Tribolium castaneum: one gene and its partners. The protein of the gene in region 2 interacts with the protein of the main gene of each other region in a biochemical or structural test. Links are inferred from orthologs where the notes say so. Each region holds a gene or a part of one and is shown on either strand. Other genes may lie near its edges. The genes, in order: Cdk9, TfIIFalpha and TfIIB.

Region 1 (3,906 bases), on a different chromosome or scaffold from region 2:
AGAATGTCTTAGATAAATTCAATTTAATGTTAAGTTAATTAAGTGAAGGAGGGGTTAAATTTAACCGCGCCCGAAAATGTAAATATGCCATGATTGATTAATTTCTCGTTTGTTAAGTTTGACGTCCTCCGCAATGTTTTACAATTAAATGTGATTTAATGTGTAATTTGTTGGGCATTCTGTGATATTTGCCTTCAAAATTTTACGGTTTCGTAATCAGTATTCTGAAAGGTCATTGTTATGAGTGGTTCATTTTATTTACCAGTTCTTTTTGCCAAAACTTTCGGTAAGCTCAACTAAATTAGCAACAGAGTTACAATGTTATTGCGTTAATTTAGAACAATTTGAAATGGGTAGGAAACTACATCTAATTAAATGAAGAGAAGACAATGATTATTGAAGTGCCTTGAATGAAGGTTTCTCCTTCAAGAATGTTATTTACCTATGTAGAGGATCTATGAAACAAGCTAACAGATATGTACAGATACATATATATTATTTTACAGATACATGTACAGTGTGCCATGTTGTTGAATTGTAAGGCCGGATGGCAGTGCAGTCAAACCAATAAAATATATAATATGTACTAACAAGTCATTTCATTCCACCCCAAAAAAACACCAAGCGTTTTTACACAGTTTATTCGCTATGTTAACTAAGTAACATCATATTAAACGTTACAAAAAGATAATAAAAAGTAACATCAAATTTTAGGGTTCCCGAAAAACCTTCAGTTATGTTTCCACTTTAGAAACAATTTCCACATTACTTGAAAATAACCACAATGTCCGTGTTTCTTACAACTAAAAAACCCTATCTTGGTATCCGCTGTCTTGCACAGCGGAAGTTGTCGGTCTTGGCAACGAATGATGCCTCATTTGTGTCGGTCTTCTCGGCGGAGCCAAATATTCAAACATGCTTTGAGTGTGAGTGGCTAACATTTTGCTCAAATCGCATGGCATTGGGTCAGTCCAGAAAAAGTCATGGTTGAGGGCCGTATCAGCATCGGCCCGTTTGGCGGGGTCGAGGACCAACAGCTTATCGAGTAAATCACAAGCGTACGGGTCTTTCATGTAGTGCTTCAGCCTCTCTTTCACCTGGAGAAGATTAAAAAATAATAATAATAAAAATAAAATCTGTGATCTTGTTTAATCACATTTTTTCCGAATTTATATGTAAATAATTACGGTTTATAAACTACAGTTCAGAACGTGGTGGAAACATTACCTCGTACAGAGGATTAAATAAATATTCTAGGCTTATAATTGAAGCGATCTTTGTTCCTACGGGACTTACTTTTCGCTTTTGGACGGGGAGTTCCATCTTCTTGTACAACTCCAGATTCTCAACTCCTGGCCAGACCTGGGGGCAGATGGTGCCACAAAGTTGAGAAATCAGAGTGAGCTGTTGTTGCTCGCTGTTGCCCTGCATTATGGGGGACCTTGTCCACATTTCGGCCATAATACAGCCAGCCCCCCACAAATCAACTGGGGGGCCGTAGTTTCTTTCACCTAACAACAGTTCTGGAGGCCTATACCATAACGTAACGACACGATTTGTAAATCTGAAATAGTAGATTACAAACTAGTGACCAATTTTTTAATTTACTGTTTGAACTCACCTATTTGGCAGTCCATTCTTATTGGTACTAAATGCACGAGCTAGGCCAAAATCGGCCAATTTTAAAACACCATTCTTTGTAATTAACACATTGGCGGCTTTCATATCTCTATGAAGAATTTTGTTGCTGTGTATGTAATACAGACCGTTAAATAATTGTTGCACTACTTTTTTTATCTCTCCTAGACTAAACTTAACGTGGACGTTTGACAACAACCCGGCCAAGTCGTGTTCACAAAAATCGAACACTAAATAAAACGTTGACTTGTATCTGTTGCGGTATGCAGCCTTAGTTTGGCATATTTCTATAAGATTAACAACGTTTTCGTGTTTCAATAGTTGCAAAATTCGTATTTCGCGCAAAGCTGTGATTGGAAACTAGAATACAAGTTTGAAAGCTTTGCAAAAAATTAATGACCCCTTACGCCCTCTTTTTCATTGTCCATTAACACTTTTTTCATTGCTACGAATTTCTTAGGATTACTTTTGTCCCTCGCCTTGAACACTTCACTACAATCGGAGAAATACAACAAATGGGGCACAATATGTGACCCCAAGTAACCCCAACTAAGTCACTTACCCGAACGTTCCTTGGCCAATTTTCGCAATTTTCTCGTATTTTTCCGATTCATCACAGAACGGGAAATGGAAATTTTCAATGTATTTCTCTTTATCTCGCATATTCATGATTGCAAAATCGCCTCTTGTCTAACGTTGCACAAGCTTTAGACAAGGCAATATTTAGCACAGTTTTTCGTCAATTAAGAAGAAACGTGTGAAGGTTTAAAACACCACATTTAAAGTACTTAAATGCATTTCCGCTGCTTTTTTCTGAATCACAATTGCACTAAAAACACACACAATCAAAACATAACCTCCAGGAATGACATATGACAATAGACAATGTCACGGAAAAAAAGCGCGGTTGGGTGAGCCTGCTCGCGAATGGTTTTCAGCTCGAAAAATACAGTATTTTATCGAAATTAAAAAAAAATCTACCAAATTGTAACACCAATTGATAACTTTTAGCATTTTGGCACTGCTACCAAAATGTTCTAACTACAAACGCAGTAAACCAACAAATTTATTTATATAATTATTTATTTAAAGAAAATAGGAAATGATAATATCATTATCATTCGTAAAAATTAAGACTTTAGTAATCAATATTAACACTTTTGCGTTCTTAATCATATTTTTTGTTGTGCCTTTTGTTGATTTAAGAAGATTACAGTTTTCTGTTTACGAATAGTACTTAATTTCATTTTGTGAAGAGGTCGCTGATATTCCATGGTCTTGAAGTGTCTTGATGGTACTCTGGGTTCGGAAAAAAGGGAAAAAAGGTACCATGACGTTGTGTTTTGTGTTTGAAACACTATTTTAAGTAAGAGCTTTTCAGATTTTTGAGAACTCTCCGCCGTTATATTCAAGTGTCGTCGAATTGTGAAAATTAATATTTTTCCTTGTCCTTCCTGTTTTCATCTTATTTCCTTCGTTTCCTTCTTTGGAAGAAGCATCTTCGCGTGTAATTTCATCGCAGGAGCAAAAGGTAAGAAGGAATTCCTAAATTAACTTTTTTGAAGACAAGCTAATTTTGGTCTGTGTATTCATTTTTGATACAAAGTGATCCAGAATCAATGTTTCAGTTGGTAGCAGGTTTTGAAGGAGTTGCAACCCTGTAACCGCCAATCGGACAAAAATTGGCTTGACTAATAATATGTTTAAAATGCCTAACAAGACTGTTAAATTGTTGTTAACTGGAAGGGCACCTCAACGGTACTACTTAAAAATAAATAGAATTTCTAACTGATATAAATCTTAAAGAAAGAGAATAATATTGTTTCTCTCCGAAGGATCGATTTATAATTCAATATGAAGGTTTTAATGGTTGAATAATTAATCAGGGAGCTTGCAATTAGCGATCATTCATATTTTGTGCTTATTGGTTTATAATTATTTATCAGTTGATATTATTCTTGAGTTTAATTTTTTTCTGAAAGCTTCTTGTGAGACAGAAACTTGAAGTAAGCTGCCACTTGAATTATACCAAATAAAACATTTCATTTTTCTTAAAATAACTACGTATCCAAATCCTCCTTGCGGCGTGCTGGGGGAATGAAAACCAACAGCTTAATGTTAAACATTTTATTTCTTTGTCTGAATGTGTCAAATACAGTGATATAATATTGTTAGATTAAATCCACATCCACATTTATAGTTAAGTAAAAAATATTACATACGAAACAATAACCGAAAATATTATGTTTAAAATGAATCGTAATAATT
Region 2 (4,249 bases):
TCATCATTTCCTCAATCTTACATGGACACCAATAAAGATGTTTAATACAGTGGAGCGTAAGTCACTATTACATTTTGAAAATGTTTCGTTTTAATTCAGTGGAAATTAAAATTAAAAACTAATTAAAAATATTTTAATCATTTTCTCTGAGAAATACGCTTGAATAACTGTGATTCTTTCTAAATTCTCGAAAACTGATTCCGTTTTGCGGTTAAAATATCTTTGAATTTCGAAAAAGATCTTTCTACATCACAACTGGTTACAGGAGTAAATAAAAAGTTTGGTGCTAATGCAAAATATGTCGAAGGTGGTACATTATTCGCTATTTGTTTTAAAACTAGAAAATCGGGATTTCTAGTAACAACTGCGTCAATTTTTGCATTAAATTTATCTTGTAATGACCATTCTACAGATTTTAACTCTATCAACGTAGACTCAAATTTCTCAACTGTAATGGATAATTTAAAATTTTACGTTTCTAGAAATTTGATCGTAGTTGGAATATTTCAAAAATTATTTTCAATAAAATTAAGTTGAGAAACTAAATTTGTGGTTAAAACTAAAGTTTTACATTATTTAATGCTTTGTGCATCGTCGTTTAAAGCAATAAACAAATGATTTTAATTGATTAAAATTTTTAGAAATTTGCTTCTAACCAAGTACCACAGCGTGTAACTACAATTGTTGATTCGTCAGAAACGTTACGATTTGTATATTTTTTTAAAAAGGACTTTAAAGAAGGATTATTTAGTTATCTACAAAATGTGCTCGAGGTGAAATCGCAGCGTATTTCCCTTTGAAACGTGGTGTGGTTGAAAACATTTCAAGGGCTAAAAATGGTAAATAATTAAAAAAATATTAATGTCACACCAAAGAATACTTTGAAATGAATTACAATTTTACAATTTAGTTTTACTGGGTCACTTATATGCTTTTTAAATAAGTACATGAGATAAAAATGTTCTTTTGACTTTTTAGATATTATTAAAATTAACTGAGAGTTAGGGCGGTTAAAAGTAAAGGTATAATATTAATAGATAAGTGACATTAATTATTTTTTAATTATTTACGAATTACGATTTTTAGCTCTCGAAATGTTGTCAAAGGCGATGAACACGCTTCAGAGGGAAATACGCTTCGGTTTCACCTCAGGCGCATTTTGCAGTAATTTTAAATTGCAATAACTTGGTGAGTCTTACAGATAACGAAATGATTCTTGCACCAAAAATTGATTTCAAGTATTAGCTTTATTTCGTCTCGATTATGTGGGAGTCTATCTTTTAAATTAAAAAACTTTCTCGCATCTCGAAAATTTCACTACACAATTATGCAACGTTACAAGAAAATGTATTTTTTTTTTGGTTTCCCTTTATCAAAACTCTACCTTGTTAAACTACGTATAAATCTGCATTTATTGAAAATTTGTTTGCAAAAAAACGGAGTTTCTAGCTTTATCCAGAAGGAAGATGTGAGTATGTAAACGCAAAATGTGTCCAAGTTTAGGTGTTTGCAAATTTTTAGCTAAAACGTCTTTTCAGCCCCTTCGCGAGGGTTGAAACAAAAAATTCTTTGTCTAAACATTTTTTAATACTCTTTCCTAACTTATATCAACAATGTAAGCTGTTCCACAACATTTCGATTTAAAGGTTTATCTGACTGCAAGCGCGCGCCCATGCACTAACCTTCGCCCATAAAATTTCCTCACACTGGTTATTACAGCTAAACTAATGATTAAAAAAAACGTTAATAACATTATTAAATTCTCTGTAAAAAATGTTTAAAAATCAATAAATCATAAATACTTGTTGGGCAATATATTTTTCACAGTTTCAATTGAAAATCCAAAATTTTTTCATAGCCTACTATAAAGAAAAAGCGGAATGTTATATTTTTTTAAATATTTAAAAATAATGTGTTACACAAATAGATATATCAAATCAGAGAAAAATAGTATTTTCAAAAATATCACAGCCGCCTATGATTCCTATTTAAAAAAATAAAACTTTATGTTATTGCAGCTAAACTAAAAGTTAAAATAAACTGCTGATAACATTAAATTCTCTGTAAAAAAGTGTCAGTATAATATCTTTGTTTCAAATGTGTATCTTTTATAATAACGAAGATATGAATTTTTTTAAGATTTTGCTAAAATGACAACTTTTGTGTATTAGTTTTTTGTTTGTTTCATTTGAAAACTAATTAGGTTAAACGTAGATAAATAAATTAAAAAAATAATAAAAACAATACTAATTTTCGGACAATGGGTTTATCGAAGGCGACCATGAATTTGACGTATCTTTGACATTTGTTAATCTTGACATGACATGACATCTTGACGTTTGTTAATAAATTTTAGATACTTTTTATTATGCAATTTGTTGGGCTGTTATCAGTGATCATTTAAGTGCGTTATGTTATGTATTACTTTGGTTGTTCTTCTTCGACGCTTTTGTACTCTTTCAAATTATTCTCCCTTTCCATTTTGACCTGCGTCCACTTGGCAAAATCCACTTCAAGATTTCCATTAAATCTCATTACATGGTATCGCTTCTGGACGTTTTTCGGTACTTTGATTGTATACTCCTTAACACCGGCTGGGGCCTGTGATTGCTTCTGCTTGAACAGAATAAAATTAATTTGTGAAAACTTAAAACTGTTATTTTATACGTACAGAGGCGGCTGAACTTGTCGCCATTTTAACCAAATTACAATTAATTGCAAAATTTATTAGTTAAATTAAACTCAAATTAAAAAATAGACCTATTTAGAAAACAGCTGTCAAACAAGTTCGTTTAGAGGTTAGGTCACCATGTCGGTAACACAGGTGCCATACTTAGGGCAGATACTTTCTAACGTGACAAAAACCGTGGAGTCAGTTGTATTTTTTTTATTGTTTTCTAATTTTTATTAACAAACAGAAACATTTATTACAATATAAAATTCCATAAAAACCGGGAAGCTTTTAATTTAAAAAAAAATGTACAACTAACTTTAATTCCAAAAAAAATCGACAGAAATTCTAGTAATTTCAAAAAATCAACCAAAAACTTCGAAATATCAATAATTTGTATAAACTCCAAATTAATTCCTGTAATTTTCATAATTCCCTAGTGGGTAATTCCTGAAATTACAAATAGTCCTAAGGAATTCAAATAATCTCGAATAATTCCAAAAAACTCCAGTCATTCACAAATTATTCCAAAAGTCCGCAAATAATTCCAGCAATTTCATAAATTCCAAAAATAATTTTAATAATACAAAATACTTCCAAAAACTTTAAAGCAATTCGGATGAAATTGATAATCCGATATTGCTCTATTATTTTATAAAAAATATCCACAGGAAATACATGATGAAATGTAGGTATGACTAAGATCGTAAACATTTTAAGGTTTTGTGTAAAATAATAATCCCAAAACTCAAACTGATTAGATATTTTCTATATTTAATAATTTTTGTCAATTTCCTTTTTATTACTTCACTAAATAAGTAGGTATTAGCTGTTTCAAAACTGTAAAAACACCAACGTCGCATTTTACCGAATAATTTTTTTTAATAAGGTTGATAAAATTGTAAAATAATAATTAATCATCGAAATAATTGTTAATCATCGAAAATATAAATTACATTAGCTATTATTTTTTTGAAGTGCATGAAAATTTTATTAGAGCTACACTTATTACTCTTATTAACATCTCATAGATCTATCTCTTACAGTTTTTGAAATAATCGCAAAAAAACAGAATTCTAACTCAATAGTTTCATTTTTAGTCGAAAAAACTTCCAAACATACAATAAAATTGTGCCATTGATTAAAAGAAAAGTTAGATTTGTTCACCATTTTTACTCAAGAAGTTCAAAATTCGATGGCAGACTGACTGCGTTACTTGTGGCACTTTTTTTATTCTTTCATATCATTTAATTGTCTGTCACATGATTATTTTGCATTTTCGTTACTTTCTTCTTAAAAATTAGAAATTGCAGAGTTAATTACGAACTTTTTGTCACATTTACATCAAAAACTGTTTTCTGAGACGGAATTTAACCCTGTTTCTATGTTTTCGTATCTACATATTCATCTTGGATTTAACATTAATGATATTTTTTCAAAATAAATTAAACACTGAACCCAACTTTTTTTACTAAAATTCCTCCGAATGACTTTTGTGCCAACGTTAAAACTATTTTTTTCTACAGCCGTCAAAAAATCGTGACATTTATGCATGGTTACCTATGCGCGAAGTTTGAC
Region 3 (4,244 bases), on a different chromosome or scaffold from region 2:
CATAAAATCACCAGTGGTAATGAGATCCACTGAAGTTTCAAGCGCTTTCAAAATCAATTTAAAACATCTTCCAATCTCTCGTTTACTAATTTTACTGACGGCGCAGATTTCTTTGAACGTTCGAGGGACGCCCTCTTGCCGACAAGCTATGTAAAGACACGCCGACGCTATGGCGTCGTTAGAGCGTCCTTTCAAGTTACGTCCATCATGCACTTGTTTGAACAAGTTATTAGCACGGTCTACTATAGTCCTTGGAAGATTAATGCGATCCGCCATTCCGTTGATTTCACGAAAAGCGTTGATCAAAGCGCGGTCGGAACTGCTCATGGTTTTACGGTTCTGGTAGCGCGCGACACCGAAACTATCAAAGGAGGCGTCCCCTGGAAAAAAATTAAAAGACAAACTGTGATAAGTTTTGTTGTCCAGTCAAAATAAATAAATCAAAATTTTGGGAAAAAGCTTGCATCTTTCTATACATATAAGTTAAAAACGTTTTGAAAATCAAAAACAAAGTATGTTTTAGCAGCCATTCCATTTTAACGGACGGGACACTTCACATGGTTTCTATTTCATTTTCAGTTTTTATGAACAGTATCAGTAAAAGTGAATTTTTATTTATAGGAACTTAGTACCAGTTAAACGGTTTGCAACCTACATAGGAGCCACATTTGTAAAAATTCAAATATGGACAGGAAAAAGAAACACAAATTGATGACGGACGGGACACAGAAAAGACCTCACATTTTTTTCGTTGAGCAATCATTATACAATTCTGTTAATTTAAAGTGCACTAATTCCAACAATTATCTTTGAAGTTAAAGGTGAATCTTTTGAAACCACGAAAACGAACAACAAGGTAATATGTTACAACTTCTAATTAATTTACTTTTTGTTTACACATATGGGGTAAAAAAATCTTGTGCATGCAAATAACTTTAAAAGTTATTCACACAGGTTTTACTTTATTGAAAGACTTTAACAATGACAAAATTAGCCAGTAGAAATTAAAAATTATTGGATGTGTTTCCCATCGTAAGAAATAAGAGCAACATTTATACAGAGTGTTCCGTTTTTATTGTTACGAATTTAAACAGATGATAGAACATTCAATTTTAAGACAAACGTTTCCTATAAACATGTATTGATAAGTACTTCGTAAGAAACCTACCCTACACACTCTGAAAAGGGTGCTCCCTCTATTAGTGGATTTTTCCCAATATTTCAAAAACTATTACAGATATCGAAATGATTCGTGACCAAAAGCTGATATGAAGTACAGTAATGTTTGAATAATTCGAACAGAAAATTTGCAGATTGCAAATAATATCAATAATCCCAACACGCGTTCGGTTTACAGTTACCTTACATAACCAAATAACCATGCAAATACATATCCCTACCACAAAAATTATACTCAGTGGCTATAAACACCGTTAAGTGTTTCAAAATAAAAAAATACAAAATTAAAATGTATTGCAAACAACTATCAAGAATTAAAATCAACATGTGGTATTTCGGATTACGAAATTCAAACGTTCGGATTGTAGGTACAATAAATACCGTTCGGGTTATTAGAGGGGGCTTGTTTAATTTTAACAGTTAAAAATCAAAATTTTCCCAATTTTTTTAAACTTCAAACCGATCACAAGAGGCAAGTATCCTGGTCAGCAATATTGCCAGTTAATAATCAAGAGTTGTCTAAATATTACTGGAATAGCTTCATTCCATTTCTATTCAATAGAGGTTTGTCTTATACAACAAAAAAACTTTCTTGCATCTCAAAAATTTCGATACACAAATATGCAACGTTACAAGAAAATGTATTTTTTTCGGGTTCCCTTTATAAATATTCAACTAAGTAACTACGTAAACATCCACATTAATTGAAAATTTTGTGAAAAAAAATTCTAGCTTTATCAAAAAGGAAGACACGAGGTTGTAAACTCAAGATTTGTCCAGTTTTAGGTTTGTGTAATTTTTTCGCTAAAACGTCTTTTTCATAATGAAAACAATTTCCAATACAAAAACGACCTTCGGATTACAACGCAGCAGAAAATTTTGCAAAATAATCAAATGTTTATAGTCACTTTTTAAAATTGTACAGATCATCCCTTTATATTTATTGCAACCACCCTAAACTCTGTTTATTTGAATAATGTCAAAAAATTCGGCAGAATATTAATATATAGAATTTTATGCTTTACAATTCTTATTAAAAACTTTTTTCCAAGTCATCGATTTTTTACAATCATTACGAAACATTTTATTCGTTTATTCGTTTTTTCAATACCTTCTCGTGATTCAAACAAAACGTTTTGAAATACTTCACAGTAGCACAGACAGTAACTTATTTCAAAAAGGTAAGCTTTTCACTAACATTTTAATTTAAAGGCTTATTTGAGTGGAATATTTAAATAAAACAAACCTCGACCGGGGCCTATCATTGTGGTCAGGTCTGAGCCGTTAAGAAGGGGGTTCTCGGGGCCACCAACACGAGAAGGATCGACCCCCGATTTTTCGTTGCTGAAGGTTCTCCATTCAGATCCAACGTCTATTACTCTACAATGATGCAAGCAAATAAACTTATGATGCGTTTTATTGATTTGAATATTACCTGTCACCTACTACTAAACCGCATTCGGAGCAAATCTGATCGCCTGCTCTGTAATCTTCAATAAGGGGGGCATCTGGATGAGAATTACAACAAACCTTATTCGTGTCATACCTGAAATATTATTTGAGGTTAACATCATTATTATTGAAATTGGAATCGTAACAAGTTATTTATGCTAAAATACCTTGAACTACTCGCCATCTTGTACAATTTTGCACTATTTCTTCTCTATTTATTGTTATTATGACAATTTTCAAGTTTTGACAAGTGTGATAGTTAATCGACACTGTACCGATAAAACAGGTTTCAGTCATTCGACTTCCAGTTTATTGGTAAAGCAGATTTCTGTTAAGAACGTACAGTAGCGACCTCAAAAGTAATAAACTGGCGCCAATTTCAAAGCAATATAAGCTGATTTAAAACGTTCGGGAAATCGGAACCATCTCTTGGGTAAGACAGTCACATCCAACTGACAAAACATTGTTTGTGTATTTTTTCACAACATACAGTTCTTCTCGAGTTAGATTTTTAAGTTGAAGTTTTGGCAATATTTTTTTTCAACTACTTCGACCAAGCTCAAAAAACCTTCGTAATGAGCTCGGAACGCAAATTTAATAATTTATTTTAGAATGAAATTATAGATTAGAATGTGATGACTAATTCGCGGTCTCTTATAGAAAGCAGTTGACTTTTTTTCATTAATTATTATATTTTTATGTAGTTTTATCCTTTCGAAGAGTGACTAAGCTTGTATCAAATTCTGTATTGGCTGCCCTAAGTTTTCGATTTTTTAAGAAATGGTGAAACCTGAGTTTCGAACTGTAAAGAAATATTTTTAAAATGTGTTAGGTTCTACATTAGCATAGTTAAAACTGTATTGCAAAGTTTCAATTGAGCCATACAGGTACAGGCCTTAGGAAACACCACGTCGAAAAAAGTTGAAAAGTGCTTCTCCTGCAGAAATAGTCAGAAAAATCCAAAGAACGGTATTGGAAGATTACAAATGAAAGTTGTATAAAATAGTTCAAACCTTGAGGATTTTAAAACACAAACATCATATCTTTTATCAGTTTTTAAGTATGAGAAAAAATTGGCAAAATGGGTGGCATATTGCTCCTTCTTTGAGCACAAAAGCTCACCGAAAAAAATCAGATATTTTCAATGCTTGGAGCTATTTTAACGCAATCCAATGGATTTTATGCGCCAATGTATAACAATTTAGCTTCAGTCTATTACTGGACTTAAAAAATATTACACTGGAAATAAGTATAAAACAAAGTTTGAAGAAATTACAGCTAAAAAAAGTTTTTTTGAAGAGTTACAAGAATCGGTCCACAAGGATAGTATAAAGATTTCGAAACATCAATTGACTATAAGTGCTAATAACTACAAGGAGATTATATTAAAAAGTAAAAAAAATCTCCTTTTTATGGGAGGCTACAAATAAAACATCCCATCTTTATACTAATTGGTCGTATTTTTAGTAAGGTATATAGTTTTGGCTTGGTTTTATACTTTTGCTCTCAGTAGATATTGTAATTATTAATTACTGAAAAATACAATATTAATATTGATTTATAGATACAAAGCTTTGTTAAAATTTATTTCGTATTTAAATGTTATAATAACG

The links.
Region 1: the proteins of TfIIFalpha (region 2) and Cdk9 form a complex in vitro, tested with the Homo sapiens proteins (2 studies listed by BioGRID, with this or other methods). The link is inferred for Tribolium castaneum from reciprocal best matches to the Homo sapiens genes GTF2F1 and CDK9.
Region 3: the proteins of TfIIFalpha (region 2) and TfIIB form a complex in vitro, tested with the Homo sapiens proteins (3 studies listed by BioGRID and IntAct). The link is inferred for Tribolium castaneum from reciprocal best matches to the Homo sapiens genes GTF2F1 and GTF2B.

The regions. Positions count from the first base shown.
Region 1 is NC_087394.1:32,585,611-32,589,516, reverse strand, and holds Cdk9 (cyclin-dependent kinase 9), read right to left. Parts: upstream 2,534-3,906; 5' UTR 2,308-2,533; coding exon 2,201-2,307; intron 2,131-2,200; coding exon 2,046-2,130; intron 1,999-2,045; coding exon 1,622-1,998; intron 1,565-1,621; coding exon 1,297-1,564; intron 1,098-1,296; coding exon 804-1,097; 3' UTR 626-803; downstream 1-625. UniProt on the Homo sapiens protein: Protein kinase involved in the regulation of transcription.
Region 2 is NC_087400.1:9,147,165-9,151,413, reverse strand, and holds the start of TfIIFalpha (general transcription factor IIF subunit 1), read right to left. Parts: upstream 2,826-4,249; 5' UTR 2,696-2,825; coding exon 2,672-2,695; intron 2,617-2,671; coding exon 2,426-2,616; intron 1-2,425. UniProt on the Homo sapiens protein: TFIIF is a general transcription initiation factor that binds to RNA polymerase II and helps to recruit it to the initiation complex in collaboration with TFIIB. It promotes transcription elongation.
Region 3 is NC_087398.1:13,752,084-13,756,327, reverse strand, and holds the start of TfIIB (transcription initiation factor IIB), read right to left. Parts: upstream 2,948-4,244; 5' UTR 2,816-2,947; coding exon 2,799-2,815; intron 2,726-2,798; coding exon 2,615-2,725; intron 2,560-2,614; coding exon 2,426-2,559; intron 381-2,425; coding exon 1-380. UniProt on the Homo sapiens protein: General transcription factor that plays a role in transcription initiation by RNA polymerase II (Pol II). Involved in the pre-initiation complex (PIC) formation and Pol II recruitment at promoter DNA.